3 linked regions of the Struthio camelus genome follow. The protein of the gene in region 1 interacts with the protein of each later gene in a pairwise test. Links are inferred from orthologs where the notes say so. Each region holds a gene or a part of one and is shown in the gene's direction. Other genes may lie near its edges.

Region 1 (7,080 bases):
AGGCTACACACTTCCAAGGCCACCTTTTATCATTTTTAAATAGGTATGACACCAAAACCCAACGGCCCAGTAATAGGCATCTTTGCAGGACACTGTAGTCTTCAGGTTCAATACTAGTCGCTAAGCTCCAGATCATATTCAGGGTATAGCTGCTTTGTGGTAACCCCTCGAATAACAGCTAGAAAAGAAACACACACCATTACTTTCATTAAACGAACAGTAGGTTAGCCACAAGAGTTGCATTTTGCTTTCACTAACCCCCTAACTATCCTAGAACCTCCCATAGCTAAGAAAACAATCAAAAATTCTGTAGCTATGCCTCCTGCTTGCCCCATTTTTTTAAACGTGAAGAAATGGTAAAAGAAAGTAATAAGATTAATCAAATTTTGATAACCCGTAACACATAATAAAACACCTGCAAGTGTCAATTATTTCATATGCTGCTCAGGATATGTCCAGTTCCCAAAAGATTCCAAAGAAATAATGACAGAATCATTTGTGCTTGCACAAGTGATTTTAGTAAGAAGCCTAGAATTGCAGAATCTTTAAAATAAGCTACGCCTTCACAGCGTAGCAGCTTCTCTTTCTATCTAGATGAAAAAATTTACTAAGAAGCTGTTCATCTCCTTCCTTACCCAGCTTGCCTAACAGCATCTGTCCAGCATCTTTAATATCATTATACTCATGGAGCAGGGAGATGTGTTTCTCCAGTTCTTCCAGACTGTAGCCTCTGTAACAATAAATCCAGGAAGGTTAAAAAAAAAAAAAAAAAAAAAAAATCACGACACAGTGTGACAGCATGACTGCTGCTGCTACATAGTGAGCAAATTAAAGGTCTGTTTACCCTTGAGGCTTAAAAGAAACAGCAGCTTTTGGAATTGAATTCATTGTTCTATGATTTCCCAATCCATTTTAGGCACTATACACATTATTTTAGAAGATACCACTCACTACGTATAACCCACAGAGGTTCCCCCGCTTAAACAAACACACAACACAACCCCCCCCCCCCAAAAAAAAAAACCACACACAGCAATTTTTTCTCAAACCAGTCTGAAAAATCCCAAAATAGTTTGAGAAAACCCTGGTGATCCCAAAATGTGTCATAAGGAATCACACTAAAACAGCTGCACTATCCTGTATGCGGCACCCATTAAGCCAAAATGTTCTGCAGGGCATTTGCTTGTCAGGAAAACACCCCTGCTTCTTGAACACAAAGGTCAATACTTCCAACAGCTCACCTCAGACACAGAACAAGTGAGCACCACATCCACATGGAACAAGGGAAACAGTTTAATCTGAACAGGTCAAAAGTCATGATCTCCATTTTCAATTCCATATGAGCAAGCAATTTTGGTAACACATCCTGATGGTTCAAATTAGTCATTCCCAGTTTACAGTAACATCTGAGGTTAAGTCAAAAGTCTTCTCGTCTCAGCTGTAATATCGCTTTCTTTGCTTTACCAAATAAACAGGAAAGAATTCCCTGTTGTCTTTAACTGGTCCCATAATTCAAACAATATTGTAATGAGCATTACATAACAATATGATAAAACAACCAATGTAACAGGTCAGCTTTTAGTTCTAACTCCTGGGCCACGTTTAGTTTTAAAAGTAAAAATACTGAGGCCTCACACTGAACATTGAGCTTGCCAAGGACATACTCAGACAAAAATTGTGCAATTTCCTGGTCTAGAGCGAGGTCTTTCTGTTTCAGCTCTTCAATTTCATACTGCAGGGCTTCTTCACTGGCTCCATTAGGTTGGCAGGACCTTGGAGATGGGATCTGCAGAGCACAGAACACATTTAACATTCCACTCACTCAGCATGGGATAAGATACTATTGTGCCAGAAGGAACTGATCAGAAGATACATTAAGCATCACTGGGCAAACAAAAGGGAAAAAAAAGGGAGGGGGCTAGACTCAAGTAAAGTATTTCTCAATATATTTAATGTCAGCCGGCTCTATTTTATAATAAATCTTATTCTACAGCATTTTGTACTTTTACAGTGCTAAGGGAAAGATTACAATCTGGCTTTTCAAACAAGTTCCCAGGATGATGCAGTGTTGCATACTGACACAACTCCAGGCTGCCAGTTACTCAAGAGATGCCGTTGAGCAGTTTAGATGTCGTTTACCCTGATAAAGCACTAAGGCAACAGGCAATTTCACTCTCCAGGAAAAAGAGCCATTGCTACGCCAGTGTGAATCATCACAAACACTGGGACCAACTGCTGTTTCAGCTGAGACTTCAGTGACTACAACAGGCCACGGGAACTGAACTGTCACCGCAGAAGTCATCTCTCTGAGGCAGACATGAAGCCGTACGGACAGAACGGGCAGGAAGGTTGCTCTGCTGCCCCTGGAGCTGAGGGAGGGCACTGCACGCTGCCGAGTTTCTTCAGACGGGGAGAAGAGCCCGCGTAAGGAAAAGCAGCTCCCGGCAACCCGCGCCTTACCCCGCTCTCCGAGAGAGGAAAGGCGCCGGCAGGAGGCGGCAGGCCCCAGCGGGGACGTCACCGCCGAGGGGGGACCACCACCGCCGAGGGGGGGCCGCCGGGCGGCCGCGCCTCCCCCCGCAACAGCACGGGGACTCACCGGCGACTTGAAACCGGCTGTGCCGCTCCGCCGGGCGCCACCGGGGGTCCTGGGCAAAGCAGAGGGAGGCGCCGCGTCAGCGGCCGGGCAACCGGGCCGGGCCGGAGCCCCGGGGGAGAGGGAGAGGGGACCCGAGAGGCGGGCAGGGCCAGGAACCAGCTCCTACCTCTTCGGGACAGGCCGGAGCGGCGGGCAGCTCCCGCTGCGCCCCGAGCCCGGCGGGGACCCCCCCGGCGGCGGCGGCGGCTGCTCCGCCAGGGCCACCGCCTCACGCCAGCACCGCGCGGACCCCGCCGCCGCGGGGCGCGCCGGGAGCCGTAGTCGCGCCGCCGCGGGGCGCGCCGGGAGCTGTAGTCCCGCGGGGGTGGGACCCGGTCCCCGAGGCTGCGGACGGGCGCTGAGGAATGCATCTTCCCGTCTGAAACTACAGGTGAAATCGGCGGCGGGGCAGAACATAACCAGGCAAATAAGCCCAGCCGGGAGCTCTTCCGTTGGCACCGAGTGTTTCTGAAAACGCCTTCGAGCCTTCCAGGTGCCACAGCCTTGTTTCCGCGCCGCCAGCGGCAGGTTTCCCCGAGGCCGGGTGCCGGCGGTCCCTCGGGGACCTGCCTCCAGCCCCTACTTTCCTAGGCAGAAAGCCGCCGCCGCCGGTGCCACCAGCGGCAGCGCGCGTCGTGCCCGGCTGGGCCCCGCGAGGAGGGACGCGCTGGCTGGGAGGCCACCACCGCTCCAAGGTGCGCTTCGAGACCTCCCGCCTGCCAACCCGCCGCTGGATATTCCCCCCGCACCCCGAGCAGGCCGAGGTCAGGTAGGACGCCAACAGCAGCAGCGGGAAGCAGGATCAAACTCAGAAGAGTCAGATATAAACCGTCAGGCTTGGCAACCTGGGCCGCGTCCAGCCGCCCCACCTGCGCGTCCGTCCCTAGCCATCATCTGCTTCACCTCCTCCGAGAAGGCAGAGAAAATAAATCGCCTCCTCCGAGAAGCCGGGGAGAATGAGACAATTCCTGTCTTGCTCCTTGGTTGGGTGCAGAGTTTCCTTCCCTGCTGGCCAAAGGCAGACGTCCCTGTGCAGCGCCAAGCGCTGGCAACGGGCCTTTTACGTTCCCTGGCCGAGCGCGCAGGCCAAATCCCGCTGTTGCCGACTCGGAAGGTCAAAGGATGCGGGAACGGGACTACAAACCAGCAAAACACAACCCCCTTTACTGGCCAAACACAACCCCCTTTACTGGCCGTAACTGCGGTGGGGGGGGGGGGGGATCAGGCACCGAAGCGATGCAGGCAGGGCAGCCGGCTCTGTAGGACAGGGCCTAGAGAGGGGGAGGGACGCTTGCCCCGCTGAGACCGGCCCTTCTCCGGCGGCCCGACTGCCGCAGGCGGCCCGTTGGGCGGCTCGGGGCCGGGGCCGCCCTGCGGCGGGGGCCGGGCCGGGCGCGATGGCGGCGGCGGCGGGGCCGGGGCGGAGCCTGGCGGCCGCCTGCGCCGCTCGCCCTGCGCCGGCTGACGTGGCCCGGGCCCGGCTCGGACATGGCGGACGGCAGCAGGCAGAGCAAGCTGGCCGCGGCCAAGAAGAAGGTGCGGGGCCGGCGTGGAGGGAGGGAGGCGGCGCGGGGAGCGGAGCGGGGCGGCGGGGCGCCGGCCGGGCTCGTCTGCGCGCTGCCCCGCGCTGCCCGTTCGCGGCGGCCGCGGAGGGGGCTGAGGCCCGGCCCGGCCCGGCCCGGCTCGGCTCGGCCCCCGGGTGCGGCGGGGCCGGCGGCAGCGGGGCGCGCTGCCATTTTGAGCCCCGCGGCGCGGCGGGTCTGGCCTGGCCTGGCCCGGCCCCGGGCCTCGGGCCCCGCGGCCGCTGCCTGCCGCCCTGGGGAGAAGCGGGTGGTTTGCGTGAGTGCTGGGGGCTCGCTCCCGCCGGGGGTTTCGCTGTCTGAAAGACACCGGCACTGAAAGACTGAGGGAAAGGCTTAGAAAGGTGCAGTTTAGGGCTCACCTGTCTAGCTTTTCCTAGGGAAAATGGAAACTGTTTTAAATCCGGCCGCGGAGAGCACAGTCAAGCCCGTTTTTATAAACGGAGCCGTTGGTTTGCTCCATGATGTCGTTTGTCCCCCCAGTTCGGAGCTGCAGCGTCTGTGTCGGCGTGTTGTCTGTCGGGGAGGCCTGTCCTTTTCCTTCTCAAACTCTTTGGCAGAAGGGCAGAGCTTGCTCTCAGGCGCTGCTTTTTCACTTACTATTCAGGATTAATTGCCTTTTATTAATTTCACCTTATTGCTCTTGGTTATAACCCTAAAAGTCATCAAAGTTATTTATTTCCTTTCAGTTGCAGTAAAGGATGGCACGTTCTTTCCTTCCCATAGCCAAATTTCATTGGTTGCATAGCAAAGCTGCGCGTTTGCAACCCTGAGTCTCTGGCCCCAAACCCATCGCACCAGCTCTCAATTTAGCCTTCTCGACTTGTTCTAACTTTTTTCAGAGAAACTCTTCAAAGACAGTTGCTCATGTCTCTATGCCTGATCTCCCTTTTTACCCCGTGATCTTTTTATTCTTTTCATTATTTGTTGACCTTGTAGCTGTAGAAGGCACGTTCCATTTGTGGACTTCAGATTCTTCTTTTTTTCCCCCCTCCCCCCCCCCAGCTGAAGGAATATCAGCAGAAGAATAGCCCTGGAGCAACTGCGGGAGCCAAGAAAAAAAGAAAAACTAAAGAAGGAAGTAGACCTGAGACTCCCACAAATGATGACCAACAGTCTCCAGAGAACGTAAGTATTCCATTCTTTCTCCCAAATCATTAGCCACCTTGTTGTTCTTTGGTTTCCCATACGACCTGACTACAGGAGGAGGAGGAGGGTTTTGCCGGTGTAACATATGAATGGCTGAGATGCTGGTATTACCAGTTTATGAAGTGAGCTACAATGGTTAGCGACTAAAATCCCTTGAAGGCGCACGCTAGCGTCAGGGTTTATGGCGAAGCAGTGTTTGATCGTACAGGGGTACAGTGCAACCCTGGGTATGTCCAGAGCTGTTGTTTTGAGGCGTATCCTCCTAACGAGCTGGAGGGTGCCAGCTTCTGTGGCTACCTTTGATTGGTATTTTCTCTCTGTCCTTTTCTGAGCCATTTCTCTTTCCACTTTTCTTTCGCCTCCTTTAGATTCAGAACATTCTGAAGGTGCTGGTGTCAGACCTTAACCGCTCCAATGGGGTAGCCATACCCTCATTGGACAAGAGGAAGGTGAGGCAGTGCTCCGCGTCCCTCTCGGTGACTTGCTGTCCCTACTGCATGCTTCCAGTTCTGTTCAAACCGACTCTGATTTTCGGGTGGAGTCTCGTTCTGACGCATCTGCTGTCAGTTGCTTGAGTTTTGTTGCTGTTTTCATTAACATGGAGCTATTTCTTAACATGCCTTTCCGTTGTTTGTGAGAGTGTGTTTCCTTCTGGTTTGTGTCAAACTTAACAAGTGAAGAAGTGAACCTTGTCAAGAACTTTTTCTTGGGACAGTCAAGCTTTGGGGAATATCAGGAATTTGGTGTGAGGCAATGAACAATGATGAGTGACTGCCTTTACTATATGATGAGTTTCCAAGAAGTTGTAGCAAAGGGGCGTAAAAACCTGTCTGGCACTAGGAAAAGGTAGTGTTCTCTCAGTCTCTATTTCTGCTGTTTTGGGTATCACTGCTTTCTTTCCCAGTGCCTTGTTTCTGAGGGGCATGTTTCTGCTCATCTCTAGTCAAGGAGCTGCCATGAGTAAGCTATGTAGTTATTCCAGCCAAGCCATTTTATGACGGGTGATGAAACTTGCACAGGTGATGCACACTCTGGCAAGTACTATGATTTTAAATATGTTTAGGCAGGAGGTCAGATATTTCAAGTCAAGCATTTATGGCCTTCAGGGTCTTCTTGTTCCCTGGCTCCTGGAGATGAAAGGGAAGGAAATACTTCAGTGAGCAATAAAAATGTGTTCAGGAGCGAACTTACATCAGCCTTTTATTTGTAGGTAATCAGTTTACTGGAAGCTAGAATTGTGATAGGAAAGTCAAAGTTTGTAGCCCAGAATTTTCTTCCAATTTTGTTACACTAAAGCTCTGCTTCCCAGTGTCACTTGGTTGCACCATCATTTTGACTGCATACCTTTCCACCCTCATTTTCAAGTCTAGTTGTCACAAAATAAACCATTTATTATATTTACTGCTTATCCACTTCTCTCCAGCAATAAATTGAGCTATCGTAATCACCAGGAGCGTTAGGTGGATGCAGGTGAGGATGGCTGTTCTGGGGCTGCTGCTGAGATGGCACTTGGTCTTGAAATGAAGGCCTGACTGTGTCTACGGTTTGTTCTGTTCGGAAAATGGAGAACTTACTACTTCTGTTCATCCTTGTTTTCCAAATTTTTTTTTTCCCTCAGCTTTCTCAGCTTGGAGAAATATGTGAAATATGTTTTGATCTGATTGGCTATTACAAACGTTCTTTTATCTTGGAATTTGTGGATTATTGTGTATG
Region 2 (7,565 bases), on another chromosome or scaffold:
CTCGTTCTGCCTGCTCTGCTGTTACACTGGGAACTATATAATGCATGGGCATTGCTCAGTGGTGTCTACACGCTTGATAGATTCATCTCCCGTGCTCTTTCTTGTAGCAGGAATAGCCTGCATATATTTCACCACAACATTTTCTGAGTTGTAAACTTACTTTATACAAAGGCATAAGATACAAAGGACAGAAAATATACAGAACGTGAAAGGGAGCGTCGATCAGTGGGTAAAGCAGAGGGCAGGCAACTAGCAGGCAGGTTCCCTGCTCCTAGTTTTGTCAGAGCTGCTCTGAGAACCAGGGTCAGTGAATCACGGGCTGGTTGATCTTATTCTCAATGACTCTCAATGACTTAATCTGTCATCGGTGTTTGAAAATCTGCTCCAAAACCTGTCTAAAGGAGTGCCCCAGGGTTGGCTTAACTGTTTCTGTTCTATCTAGTTTGAAATGAACCCAATTTTTTCCACTTTCTCAGTCCTAGGGAAATTTTTTTTTAGGTATCAGCCTTGCACATTGGAAACCCTTTTGTACAGGCAGTAAACTACCTGAATTTAAGGGTGAATCAGAACTGATGGTGAAAAAAATGAAGCTGAAAATCAAAATAAAAGCAGATGTTCAAAAAGCATTAAGGAGTTAAGGGTGTCACATGCATGAAAAATAATAGGAAAAGAATGAGCCAGCAAAAAGTCAGAGAGCAATTTTATAAGCAAGTTTCCTTTTACTTGACAAATTTCTGCCAGTGCCACAATGTGTGCCTCAGTTTCCCTAATTGCTACATGAGGTTAGCAACCCAGACTTATTTTGCAAAGGTGTTGTCAAATTTAATTTGTGAACCTTTGAAAAACGCTCTGAGTTTTTCAGATGAAAGACACTGTAAATGCCAAACATGGGTGTATACTCTGAGTCAGAGGTATAGACACGGGCATATTGTGTGATCAGCCCAACGCAGTGCACTAGATAGGAGATGGCTGTCCTCTGCAGAAAACGTAGGGATGGCTGGTGCAAAAACCACAGGCGATGCTTACACAGGTGTGAACTCATGCTACAGAAATCAAGAGTCACCCTCCGGTAAGTGGAAGATAAAGCCTGCATTAAGAAGAAGTCCAGTCTAAGCTGCACTTTCAGGCAATTTAGAAGTTAAACATGTATGTGAGTGGAAGTCTTCTAAATATGTCTGGGGACTGAGATACAGCTTGTCTAACGCCCTTTAACTAACTAGCAAACTACCCTTCAACCCCATGAGCCCTTCTGAGCCTTCCAGGGCAAGCTGTCCAGCCGAATTCGCCAGCATTGGTGGTGGCTGTGAACAACCCCACTAAAGACTGCACGCATCTCAAGTTTCAGACCAGTATGAACAGTTGATTTCCCAGGAGAGGCTGCAAATAACAAGTGGCAGGTGGGTCCCATCCGCAAGCAACGTTTTGGCATGAAACAAATCTATGAGCTTTCACGAGGTGCAGAGAGGTGATGGGCAAAAGAGCACGCTCAGCCTTTGGCTATGGAGCCAAGTTGCATTGCCAGGCTGCCGGGCAGCGGTGGCGATGTACTTAGCGCTCACTGGTCACACCTGAGCCTGCCACGGTTTCCTTGCAAGCAGGAAGCACCCGAGGCTTTCACGCCAGGCGTGTGGGATCCTGCGAGAGCGAGCTGAGGTTGAAAGGGGACCAGTGAAAGTGGTATTACGCAGCAGTGACTGGCAGCAGCGGGTGATGTTCCTGATGTACACAAGTGACATCCTTGCTTGCTTTCTGCAAACTCAAGGGAAATTCAGCCCAGGAAACCGGCAGACAGACTCCAGGCACTGTCCTCCTCGAGAAATCCAGGTGGCACTTCCCTGTTGCTACTGGCTGTCAGATAGGTCTGTTTTCTTTCCTTGCGCAGGGATGAACAAGAGCGTCTCCACTAGTCTGTATACCTGCACACGGCCTCCCTCCTCCTGTCTGACACAGCGAATCTGAGCTGAAGATCCTCCAAATTAAGCGGCAAGGACAGATACCACCCAAGCTACCCAAAAGCAAATCCTCGACCTGAGGCTTTATGAAAAACACTGACCATCAGGAGGGCTGACAACAGTCTATCTAAATCTGATCTGAACAGCATTAGATGACAGGAATTACACTGTCTTACGTCTCAGGTATGGCAACACCTCACCAGCATTGCAACAAACGGAGGAGCTGAAGCAGGGGCTGACATCAGGGTATGCCAGGCATAGCGCAGCCATAACCTGACTTACTGGAGTGCCCAGTCTTGTAATGAGAATCATGTGTGCACCTTTGCATGGGCAGAAGATTCTGCAATAATCTGGATTCTGAGCTCAGTTACTCATGAGTCTGTCTGGGAGAAGTGCATTAAACTCAACTACTCTGAATTTGAGTCAGTAAAACCAGGATGAAGGAACTCAGTCCTTAATCTTTTGACTGCCTTACCTAGTCCAAAATCTTAGCAACCTGTCAGGAAAGCAAGAGAAATCAAAGCTTCCTTCTTCCACATTAGACTTCTTCATGCATACATTTTTGTTTCTTAAATATTAACGCTAGCATGAAAAAGCTCTGCTGAGTCTTTTCCGTACACATGAGATCAGGCACCTCCGCCCTCCAGTATTTTTAATTACCTGGAGATCTATAGGACTGCTGATGTTATGAAAGATCAGCTCAGCACAGAAAACCAGGAGAACGAAATACATATATATATATATATATATATATCCGCTAATATTTTTCTTCTGAGATTCTTTTTTAAAAAAATAGCATTGCCCTTTCCTCAGCCAAGGAATGCTTTCTGAGTCAAGAAACACAGTGTGGGACCACTGCGGTCCCACATTCATAAAACTGGCAATTAGAAATGACTGCAAAAGGGGGTATTTCCCAACACCACTTTTCCAAAAAATACTATATACTGAATTATTTCTCACATGCAGAGAGCCATATCTACACACAGGCAGTAAGAGGGGCTGACCTATAGGCCAGGGATTCCAATCAGATTCCTTTTAAAGGCAGATATTTTCTCTATTTCCTTTTCTCTCATTTTGCATGGACAAAATCCTTTCATACCATATCTGTAAGACAGGCGCTTCATGGGTACCTCATTTTCACATCAGATCCAAAATGTATACTTTTCCCGTTTTGGGCTGCACTTCTATTTCCTCCACACCTAAGCAAAAGCTGCAAAGCGCAGACCCAGATTGTTCCCCCATTGCTTAGGACACTTCCAATAGGAGCTCTGTTGCGTGTTTTTGAGAAATCATTACAGTGTAAAAATCTTTGTCCAACAGTAACACCATTGCATTCTAAGAAGAAGAAATCAAGCACAGATCTTTGGCATCGTTAGCAATTGCACTGAATTTCAGTATATAATCTATGTTTAATTGATATATGATATGAGTGGAGGCTCAACCTCTTTCTTCTGAAGTTGTTGGAATTCAGCAGTGCTTATAGGGAACCTTTTTGTTCTGAAACATTCTGTGATTCCAGTTAGTTGAAAAACAGCCATTTTGGGGTGTGTATTTTCTTTTTTTAATGAAAGGAACATTTCATGAAATAATTTTGCCGCATGTGCCTTTCACTGTACCCTCCCTTTGCCAGTCATAGAGGTGAGAGATTAAAGGAAAGGCAGGGAAGAAAAGAAGGAAAACCAACTAAGTTGTTTTATTTCACGCTGAATGTATTTTTTTTTTGGACAAGAAGGTGAAGATTTCCAAGGAATACAACTAGTGCAGAGAGCAAGACCTATTTTTAAAACTCTTTTACAGTTCCTCCTTCTTGCAAGAAATATTTTGGCCATCTAGCTGTAAAATATTTCATCTTCCAGGTATATTACAACAGATTTCTCAGTTCAATGGACGTTTCTGGAAAGAGCTGAAGAAGGCACACCCGAATCCTTACTGCACAGGAAGAACGCAGTGCAATAGGCATTGGGGGTTACCTCTGCTAGTCACGTTAGCAGGGAACCTGCGGCAGGTGGGAAAAAGAAGATGCTAGTCAACTTTTGCTTCAGATCAACCGTGTTGATCTGATGCATGGATAGTCTATTTCTAGTTCCACTGAGGGATCTTGCAGAAAGCCAACATCAAAATCAAAATAATAGGGTCTTTTAAACACAGTATTATCCATACCTTTCCCCTCCCTGTGCTACTGAACAGAGTAAGCCCTCAAGGGAACCCAGTTTAAGAATGCTTTTATTCTAGCCGTTCATTTTAATTACAGCCATAACTACTTTTGCGCATGTGTATGACCCAGTTAACAAACCCATCTTCGGCATCTCATGGTCTCTCCAACCCTGCCCATCTCTGCAAGGAGGCAACCTCAGCTCCTGGCAACAATGAGCAAAATTATTTTTGAAACAAGCGGTAGAACTGGTTGCTACATCTTAAATGAAAATGATTTTTTTTTAAACATTTCTAAGGATATAAACAGCCCTTCCTCCCAAACCTGGTTAGACAAGAATGTTCCTGGGTGTGGACCGCCTTGTATAATTAACTGCACAGCTGCAGCTTCTAATCCCTAGTATAGTCTGTTTCTTCTCTCTGCCTCTACCTAGCATAATTCAGGCATTCTCCTCCTCCTTGCAGGAGCTCAAGGTGCGTCACTTGGGCAGAAACTTTCCTGCGTTCCACCTTCGTTCCTTGCTGAGACAACAACCGGTCAGACATACCCGCTTTGTAGAGGTTTGAGAGACGAGAAATCAGAGAAAAGACCGAGCAGTGAAGCCAATTTGCCTGGTTTACACAATGGAAACGGGGACTGCAGCAAGGACAAATGGTACCACTGGGAAGCCAGAGGATGTGAAGAGTCCATCCGCCCCCAAAAAAGAAGAAGAAGTGAAGAAGACCATGAACCTGGGTGGAGGTGAGAAGGAACCTATGAAGGGCACTGGCAGTGCTTCTCTGGAGACGGGGCAAATCAAGAGCTCCCTCTTCTCCGGGAGTGACTGGAAGAGGCCCATCATCCAGTTTGTGGAGTCATCTGATGAGAAGAGATCGACCTACTTCAGCATGGATTCGGGGGATTCAAAGAAGACGCAATATGCCAGTGGACAGATAGGAGACATGAGGAGACCCCCCCTCTCCTTTACCGATAAAGGTGATCTCAGGAAACCCCTCTTCTCCGTGGATTCCAAAAAGAGCTTCCTGCCTAGTGACGGGGAGGGGAGGAAGTCGTTATTCACTGGTGGGCAGATTGGGGACTTCAAGAAAACTTCCCTCCCTCTGGTAGAGACAGGAGACCTCAGAAGATCCACCTTCAACAAGCCTGACAGAGCTGCTGGGTCACGGCCCAGGGTGAAGCTGGAGGATGTTTTGTGTGATTCCTGCATCGATAACAAGCAAAAAGCCGTGAAGTCCTGCTTGGTGTGCCAGGCTTCCTTCTGTGAGCTGCACCTCAAACCTCATCTGGAGGGAGCAGCTTTCCGGGACCACCAGCTCCTGGACCCCATCAAGGACTTTGAAGCAAGAAAATGCCCCGTGCATGGAAAGACCATGGAGCTGTTCTGTCAGACAGACCAGATGTGCATCTGCTACCTCTGCATGTTCCAGGAGCACAAGAACCACAGCACAGTGACAGTGGAGATTGAGAAAGCGGGAAAAGAGGTAATGGTCTTTTTATATTGCACATTCCCGTCAGTCTTTCCAAGGAACCTCAATATCACACAGTGACTTTTGTTCCCCAGTCTGCAGTCTCTCCCAAAAGCACTGCTGCAGTGTTATTCTGGGATGCAAGGGTGGCGGATAGGAAGCGTTTAGTGGAGAACTGATACTGCTTGCCTTCTGCTGCAATTGTACTGTTGTTCTAATACCGGGATACAGTAGCATAGCACTGGTGTTGTGCAGCAGACTGTAGATCGGAGGACAGAGAACCTGGTTTCTACCCCTGGTTGCAACACTGACTTTCAGCAGGACCTGAATCAAAGCCCTCTATTCTCAAGTTTTCAGAAAAATGGGCTCAAGTTTGGACAGTGTTTGATTAGTGACATCCACAGGCAGAAAGGTGGGGCGCTGCTCACATTCAGGATCTCCAGAATGTAGGCGGTCAGATCAGCGGCTGCTCAAGTCAGTGGTTACTTTCCAAAACTGACATCTTAGCTACTTGAAGTGAGCTTGTGCTTTTTTTTCTTTTCTTTTTTTAAATTGAGATAATAGTATTGAGTCGCACCTGTGGAAAGAGACTTTTGAAGCTTAGATTAAAAAAACCTGTGTAAATGCAAAACATTATAATTCCTCTTGAAGTGTTAGTACAATACATTCAGAAGCTGGACATCTAACAAGATGAGCCAGGTACGGGAAACAGTGCTCACTCTAAGGAAAAGCCTTCCGCCTTTGTTTGCTTTAAAGAGATCAACAAAAAAGCAGTAAAACAATTTGACTCTAGTCACATAGCAGGTCCACCGCAGAAACTGGAAGTGCACCCAGTGCAAAATCCCAGTCAGAATCCCGAAGTCAGTGCTTTGATAGTGTAGTGAACAGGCGAATATAAGAACCTGACGTTGGGAATTCTTCAATGACCCTTAATTCAGAAGAATTTAACTCTTTCAACAGTGCTAGAAAGGTTTAACTCATAAGGCTGGAGGAGGCAGGTTGGAATAGCTTCTTATCTAGTGGTTTATCTGTCTTCTTTTGCACAATTTTTGGTCTTTGTTTGCGGTGTCAATCTCACCTTGCAGCCTTATTGAAAACAGATAGGAGGTTGCTCCATGTCTCAGCCAGTCTCTCTTAAAGAAATTTCTGCAGGGCTTGCTAAGTCTGCAGTTTACTTCATGCTCGTTGGTTCTTGCATTTTGATGTCAGCTGTGAACAACTTCACAGCATCTGCCTAACCTTCATAACTGCTGTGTCTAGTGTCTGTCGGGTTGTCCAGTTCCTCTTATCCCATTCCGTCAAGAACAGGTTAACGGTTGCTCCCTGAGGAACCAAAGCTGGCCAGAGCCTTCTTCCTGTGGTTGGATGGACCTAGAACATCTTGCCTGTAAAGAGGCAAGCATAACTGGGCACAGAAGCCTTTAAGATTCAAATGATATTCTTTGCTTTCTCTTTCCGAGTACTTGTGTCATTCTTATGAGTTCCATGCTTTAGTTCCTGTATTGTCAAGTGTTTTTTCTACTGCTGCTAAGCCTAGAGGATTTACGGTTTTATCAGCATGAATCATATATAAGTGCAAGCTTCTCCTGATGACAAGTTTTGATCATGCTGTAACTTGAGTGAGTATTCACCCAGACAAAAACAATTAACAGAATAGCTGTTGCTCACAAATGTTTATTCCTAGCCCTGATTTATTCACCATTGGTGGAGCCTTAGCAAGAACCACAAAGAAGAATGAACGTTTCCCAGTCCCTTGTGTGCACCACCTATTCCTTTCAAACCTTGCAGATCAAATGAGTTAGAACATGACCACAAATTGGAGCAGTGGCAGAGTGCGGCTGCTACTGGCCTTTGTGGAAAGAACAAGCAAAAACCCCGTATCAGGTCAACCCCATCCCTGCCCCATTTTCCTAGCTTGGCACACAAGCAGCTCCAGGGTAGTTTTACTGCCTGCACACTTGCTAACTGTGCCACTGGACCAGAGACCAGAGCATA
Region 3 (7,011 bases), on another chromosome or scaffold:
CTAAGTGTAAGGCACAACTGTGTTAAACTACTAATAGGTTGTGTGTGTTCTTTCTTTGATGAGCTTCTTTAAAGAAGCCTTTGGAAAGGGATAGCGGGAAAATTACCTTTACAATTTTTCACTGTGGAAGTTGAATGCTGTCCAGCTGTAGTGGTAGTTGGTATTAGCAGATGCATCAGTTTAACTATGCTAAGAGCAGTTGTGTCTATTCACTTGGGCCTGCTTCTGTTTTGCCTAACAGGAACAAGATGACTTAAAGTATCTGTAAAATTTCTATCTGCATATTAATCTAAAACAAGGATATCACTAGGTGTGTTCAGATTTAAAAAAAAAAGGGGGAGGGAAGAGGTGGGGGATGACAAACTTACAGGTGTATCAGTTGTATTAGCCCTATTTAATGCAGTGCATATAGACTAATAAATCGATGTCACTTTAAAAAATCCTTAACAATATTAGCGGTACTATCCTAGGTTATTTATATGTGACTTGATTGCTAAGGTACATACTTTTTGCTTGAGTATATGGTGTAGACTTTTCATATTTCTCCTAGTATGGCTTTACAAGTAGGTTAGTTTTACTTTTATTTGTTGTATCTTTTCAGCCTTCTATAAGCTGCCAGGACCTTTTAATACAATAAGTGGTAATACAAATGTGAAATGTTCTGTGATGCAAATGAAATCTGATTGAAAAATAAAAAAGTACTTCCAAAGGAGTTCATGTAATGGAATTGTATTTTAGTTTTTACAAAATCAAATTTGACTTGATATTATATTTCAAGAACAACAGGAGATCTCTGCTGGAATATGAATGGGCTGGGAGACCTAGATATCTGTTTGCTACTGCCAGAGTTAAACTAGTCTCTATTGTTCAGGCTTGAAAGATTGGCAGATACATCTCTATGCTGCACAAACATGTAGGATGGCACAGGTCCTATTCCATATGCTTTTACAACCTATTGTTTTTGCACGTAATTTATAAGGCTTAGGAAAAACAGAAGGAAAGAATGTGGGAGTAAGAAGCTGACATTAATGAACTGCATTCACACAGCTAATCTATATTCATAACATGACGTTTTGCAAATATAATTATTTTTCAAATCCTTGCACATTTTGCACAAAGATGTAAGGCAGGTACTTGTACCTTACAATGTATTGCATTACTGTTGTTCACTGTGTAAGAAGGATATTTGGCACATGCCGCAATGGATTATGGATTTGATTTATTTGAGTGGATGCTTGGAAAGTGTTGCTAGAGTAACAGAATTTGTGTGAAAAAAGTACTCATGAAAACACTTTAAAAATATGTGTACATAACTAAAACTTCTTGGACATAATGACCATAACCTTGATTCCCATGTTCACAAAGTCCACACCACCCCACTTAAGTACTTGACAATTGCATGAGATGTTTCTTAACTTTGCAGTCAAAAGGAAGGGGCGGAACTCGTTTACAAAGCAAATCGGGTTCCCTGAGCGCTTAAAATCTGGATATAAATCTTTTTTTGGCATATAATGACAAAATATCATCTTTGTAGTATCGTATGAAGGCTCATTGCATTGTTCACTGGCGCTGCACTTGATGAAATATTTATAATAAAAGTTTATGTATCCAACAAAAAAAAAAAACTTGTTCTGATCTTTAGTTAACAAAAGTCTTCCTGTTTAGCTCTGAAATGGTTGTCCTTCTCTGTACATGTGCATGCTGAGAGTCCAAACACATTGCCAGTGATACACTTTCTAGATAGCATTTACAGGTTTAGTTATTAAAACAGTTTTGTAACTTTTGTTGGAAAGGGGAGATCTTCATCTCAGAAGTGGAGATTATATGTTCATTATTAAATCGGTCTGGGAATAATACAGAAAGGGAAGTAACTGTTGCCTGAAATTTGAATTCTGGCTATATAGCCTGACAAAAGATGTTTAAAAACGCTATTCATCTCGGACTTCATGGCATTATCTGTGTGAATTCACTTGTTTCATAATTCCTTACTTTTCATAATTCCTTACTTTCCTCCTTTTCTTCATAGGACAGCAAAGCTACTTACTCCATCATGCATCGTACTGCTCCTAGTTGCTTGTGCTCTTGTGACCTCTCCAGTGAAGCCAGAGGAGCAATAGCAGAGCAGTGTCGTATCTCTCCTTAGATGGACTCTGTCTGGAAGTATGTACGACAGGTATTTCGTGGCTCCCTCTCCTCCTAGAGTGGGCCTGCATGAAAGGATCTGACCAGCGTAGTATTTAGATGGTACTACAGATCTACATTCTCATGTGGTCTCCCCAATTTTCTTCTCTTTTCACCTCGCCTTTTTTCCCTCTGTATCTTGTGAGGACAAGTGGCACAAGGGCAATTATTTTTTCAGATTCAGGAGTCACTTTCCTGTCATGTATTGGATGCACAGCAAACCTTTTATTTCTTCAGTTAAAGTGAATGGACTTGGTTCTTTGCACATGTTCAACAGGCTGAATTTAGTAATAACACCAGAGGAACTGTGGATGTCATGTCTATGTAAAATAAGTTGCAAGAAAAATGAATTGGGTTTGGTATTTTGAAGAAAAAATGAGTTTTATATAGAACAACATCTTGCCTTTGACTCAAGAGAAAGGAAAATAATAAGCAAAAGTTGAAGACTAATACTGTCCAGAGAAACAGTATTAAGAATAGTTAAAATAGAAAATGAAAAATACCCCTAAATTGTTCCCAGGTTCTACAAGATCCTTTACTTGCCTTTTTCGTACTGAAGAACTGAGTTTTGTTCTTGAGAGAAGATTAATGCTTCTTATGAAAAGTGCCACTGTTAATTGGCCAGCTGCGCAATTATTTGTCATAAGTACCTGAACACCTGCTTTAAAATTAGTGTAAAGACAGTCTTTAAAATTACAAAAATGCTGTGGATTTCAGGATAAATTCCAAGAAATAAGAATGTTTCTTGTCTCTGTTGTTTTTGTTCTTACTTTCCTTAGATCTTTTGTCACATGGATGTATGGTAGTGTCACTGAGGAAAGTTGCTGCCAGCTGACCATTACCTTATTGTAAGAAAATATGAGGTCATAGCACCTCAGTGGGAGAACCTAGTACGTTTAATCATGGAAAATGGTTTGGCCAGGCCTGGAGTTCCTGGGCTCAGTTTTGATATTCTAAAGATAGTGGCTACCTGTGATGCTAAGTTAAGGAGTTAATTTACTTCAACAGAGATGTAACACCCTGCTTTGAGCCTCTCTGTTTTCAGCAGCCTGCCTAATAGAGGACTGAATTATATGTTGATATCGATTCTCTTGCTTTTGAAGTCAGGTGAGGAAAACCAGTGGTAACAAAGGAAGGATTAAAGAAGAACAGTGTTTGTAAATCTTCTGGCCTTCCATAATTAGTAATATAGGAAACTGAATGCATTTTTCTTTCAATTTTTTTAGAAGTCGCAATACAAGCATTCCAAAAATTAATACATCATATGTATTATTTTATTTCCTTCTTGTACCACTGTCTACAGCTTGGCACACTGTGAAGTTATTCCTGGCATTCCTTCCTCATCGGTTTTGATCATTTTGTGGGTTTTTTTTTCCTCCTTACAAAGATGTCTATCTGCTGTGGGCTGTTTTTATTTTAGATAAACTAATCTGAACCTAATGGAGCAGACTTGGACTTCAGAGACTTGTATTTTCTCTTAACTAACTTTTCTGTGTGTCACCAGTTCTGTGCTCCTGTTCTGCGCTCAGTAGATTGAATAATGATACTTGGTCTCATGTTTTTTAAGGGGGAAAGGTGAAGTCCACAGATACCAAATGTTATGTTAGTGCTGCTTGTCACTATGTAAAAATTTTTCCTAGTGGATGGAGAAGAAAATAGGGAATAATTTCTGTTTCCCCCCACCATGCAAACTGAAGCTGAGCTTTCTTGCCTCCTTTCCCTGGTTCCTTTCCCTGTTAATTGGCTGTTTGGCAGTATTTGGCAACATGGACTGTGGATTGCACTGCAACATGCAATCTGCAAAGAGTATAGCAAATGCAAAGCCAGGCAGGAGCGCTGTCTCTGCCCGGCTGCCCCACTATTGTAATGCAGTCTTTGGTTTTAATCTTGGTGCAGGCTTAATGGTCTTTCATTAGGATTTGCAGCATTGAGGGAGGATGTTTGTGCATGAAAACGAGTTTTATCTGACTGTACCTGTGGCATGAATGAAAGATACCATCTTTACTTGTGAACTTTGTATTGTTTGATTATCAGGTTGCATGCTCCTTTGCCTGAAGGACTTCAACTTTGTTCTTTTGCAGGACACTGGCAAACTGGCAGACTGTGGCAAACTGGGACTGGACCACATCTCCTGCATCACTTGTTTTCTGCTGCTGAACGTGAAGGCGATGGGAATTGAGGTGGGAGAGTGCAGAGGAGGACCGCAGCCATGAGTGTGCCTACACGGCAGAGCTGGATTTTGCGGCTTTTTCTGTCCCCGGTTGTGCGCCCAGTGGGGCCGGCTGCTCGCAGGGCTGAGCTGGGAAAGCGCAGGCGGGCGCGGCCAGCGCTGCCCCGCGCCCCGGCTCGTGCCGCCGGGCGGGGCGGGGCCGGGCGGGGCCGGGCGGGGGGGGTGCCCGGCCGGGGCCGCTGCCTGCTGCCGCCATGGAGGCGCTGGGGGTGAGCGCCCGGCGGGGCGGGGGGCGGCGGCGCGGCCCCCGCGCGGGTGAGCGGCGGGCTGCCCCCACTCGACTGCCGCGGCTGCTCTTCTTTTGAAGGTTGCCTCCGTGGCCATCGCCGTGGTCGTGATAGCTGCGTCCGCCTTGCTGCTCCTGGCCAGAGGGGCAGGGCGGGGGAGGAAGAGCCCCGTCACCTTGCAGGACCCGCACGCGAAGTACCCGCTGCCGCTGCTGGAGAAAGAGGTGCCCGAGCGCCCGGTGCTGCCCTGCGCAGCCCTGCCACGGGGCGATGGGGGCGTCGGCCCCGCGGCCAGCCGTCGCCCCGGTGGGGCGGCCGGGACGGGGCCGGGGGCGGTTGGTCGGACCGTGGGGCCGGGGACGGGGGAGGGGGGCGGTTGGTCGGACCGTTGGCCGAGGACGGGGGCGGTTGGTCGGACCGTTGGCTGGGGACGGGGGAGGGGGGCGGTTGGTCGGACCGTGGGGCGGGGGAGGGGGCGGTTGGTCGGACCGTTGGCTGGGGACGGGGCCGGGGGCGGTTGGTCGGACCGTGGGGCGGGGGAGGGGGCGGTTGGTCGGACCGTGGGGCCGGGGACGGGGGAGGGGGGCGGTTGGTCGGACCGTTGGGCGGGGGAGAGGGGCGGTTGGTCGGACCGTTGGCTGGGGACGGGGGAGGGGGGCGGTTGGTCGGACCGTTGGCCGAGGACGGGGGCGGTTGGTCGGACCGTTGGCTGGGGACGGGGGAGGGGGGCGGTTGGTCGGACCGTGGGGCCTGGGAGGGGGGCGGTTGGTCGGACCGGTGGCTGGGGACGGGGCCGGGGGCGGTTGGTCGGACCGTGGGGCCGGGGAGGGGGCGGTTGGTCGGACCGTGGGGCCGGGGAGGGGGGCGGTTGGTTGGACCGGTGGCTCGGGGACGAGGGGAGAGGGAAGGGCGGTTGGTCGGACCGTTGGCCCGAGGGGGCAGGCAGTTGGTCACAGGCTCTCCTAGGTTTGGGGGACAGAGAAACATGCCTTGCCCTCAAAGGGCAGCAGTGACTGCCCACAGCCAGGGTGAGGTGTTACTCCGGAGTAGAGCAGGGTTCCTGAAAGCATTTATGTTTCTGCTGTAGTTCTGTAGTTACCTCAGAAAAAGGGTGGATTGATTTTTCTGTGTGTTTAAATCGTAATTTGGAGCTGTGTTTCTGCCTTGGTTCCTGTCTGACGTGCTCGGTGGGAAATGACCCCAGCAGCCTGCGTTTCTGCATGTTGTATCTTGCCTTGGCTGCAAAACGTGAAATGTGCTTAATGGCCTCGGGTGATAGAGGATTTACATACTTTTCTTACCTAAAGATGCTATAGGGGTTGCAGAATCAGGAGAAAGTCGCTCCTTGTTAAAGTGAAAAGACTGGGGCTCTAAAACTTCTTATCTGCTTAACCTTTGTTTTCAAGGCCGTTTCTGCATCGTTCCCTCGCATACTAACACCGAACAGGCTCACCAAAGCATAACGTGTTGGTTTCGAGATTGATTTTGATGGTGACCTCGTTCTATGTCTCCTTGTTTTTTCATTAGGAAATTAGTCACGATACTAAGAAATTCCGGTTTGGGCTACCTTCATTGGATAATGTATTAGGATTGCCTGTAGGTAAATACTGAAACATGTCTCTACTTTTATTGGTGATTTTAGGATTTATTACCTCTTTTCGTAGCTCTAGGTCTTCTAATTTTCTTTCCAAAGAAGATGGGAATTTAGTGCTCAGCAAAGAAAGGAGTTAAAAACTTGTGTGTCAGCAAGACATGTTAGCTTTCCTTGTGGGGTCATGTTTCTTACCTTTTGTGTGCACTTTATTATTGTGCTAAGTAGTATAGTATAGTTTTAGAATGAGAATAGTGAAACTGAACTGGGACCTGAATTACCTATTAGATAGGTAATAGATTACCTACAGGATGGGATCTGTCTGGGTTTTTAATGCTTCTTATTTGCATTCTATTTTTTTGTATCTGGTGCCCTCAATTGGGTTTGTACTTTATCTACAGTAATTATAATAGCTAGCTAGCAGACGCTTACAGTAGTATAGCTGTAATACAAAGGAGACCTGAGGAGGTTGCCCAAAACGTACTCTTACGGATTGTCCTTGCTGCTCCCATGGTGCTGGCAGTGCTCAGAGTAGCTGGTTGGATGCTGGTCATGGATATATTATTGTCAGCTGTACTCGAGCTTTTAACTAATACAGTTGCACCCTTAGATGAGAAAGAGCAACTCTTCTGCCTTAGAAGCTTGTAAATAATGTATGCAGAGCAATGGGGAAAATATGATTACTCTACGTAAAAGATGCTGCAATGTTCAGAGCATTTTCTATGCATGCATTTACCTTTGTTTTATATAAATGGTTCCAACTTTGGCTTGCTTTCTTTAGC

Evidence for each region.
Region 2: the proteins of GOLGA2 (region 1) and TRIM29 interact in binary tests that used the Homo sapiens proteins (3 or more experiments, as listed by UniProt). The two-hybrid records come from large-scale screens. The link is inferred for Struthio camelus from reciprocal best matches to the Homo sapiens genes GOLGA2 and TRIM29.
Region 3: the proteins of GOLGA2 (region 1) and CYB5R2 interact in binary tests that used the Homo sapiens proteins (3 or more experiments, as listed by UniProt). The two-hybrid records come from large-scale screens. The link is inferred for Struthio camelus from reciprocal best matches to the Homo sapiens genes GOLGA2 and CYB5R2.

Annotation. Positions count from the first base shown.
Region 1 is NC_090961.1:7,531,759-7,538,838, reverse strand, and holds the start of GOLGA2 (golgin subfamily A member 2), read left to right. Parts: upstream 1-4,080; 5' UTR 4,081-4,126; coding exon 4,127-4,174; intron 4,175-5,223; coding exon 5,224-5,346; intron 5,347-5,735; coding exon 5,736-5,816; intron 5,817-7,080. Other genes in the region: DNA repair protein SWI5 homolog, read right to left, coding at 114-178, 636-730, 1,665-1,786, 2,600-2,648, 2,766-3,055. UniProt on the Homo sapiens protein: Peripheral membrane component of the cis-Golgi stack that acts as a membrane skeleton that maintains the structure of the Golgi apparatus, and as a vesicle thether that facilitates vesicle fusion to the Golgi membrane.
Region 2 is NC_090963.1:3,724,152-3,731,716, reverse strand, and holds the start of TRIM29 (tripartite motif-containing protein 29), read left to right. Parts: upstream 1-4,522; 5' UTR 4,523-4,727; coding exon 4,728-5,585; intron 5,586-7,565.
Region 3 is NC_090946.1:25,746,494-25,753,504, forward strand, and holds the start of CYB5R2 (NADH-cytochrome b5 reductase 2), read left to right. Parts: upstream 1-3,968; 5' UTR 3,969-3,996; coding exon 3,997-4,044; intron 4,045-4,191; exon of another isoform or gene 4,192-4,220; coding exon of another isoform or gene 4,221-4,262; coding exon 4,263-4,361; intron 4,362-4,554; exon of another isoform or gene 4,555-4,605; coding exon of another isoform or gene 4,606-4,620; intron 4,621-4,718; coding exon 4,719-4,862; intron 4,863-6,165; coding exon 6,166-6,238; intron 6,239-7,011. UniProt on the Homo sapiens protein: NADH-cytochrome b5 reductases are involved in desaturation and elongation of fatty acids, cholesterol biosynthesis, drug metabolism, and, in erythrocyte, methemoglobin reduction.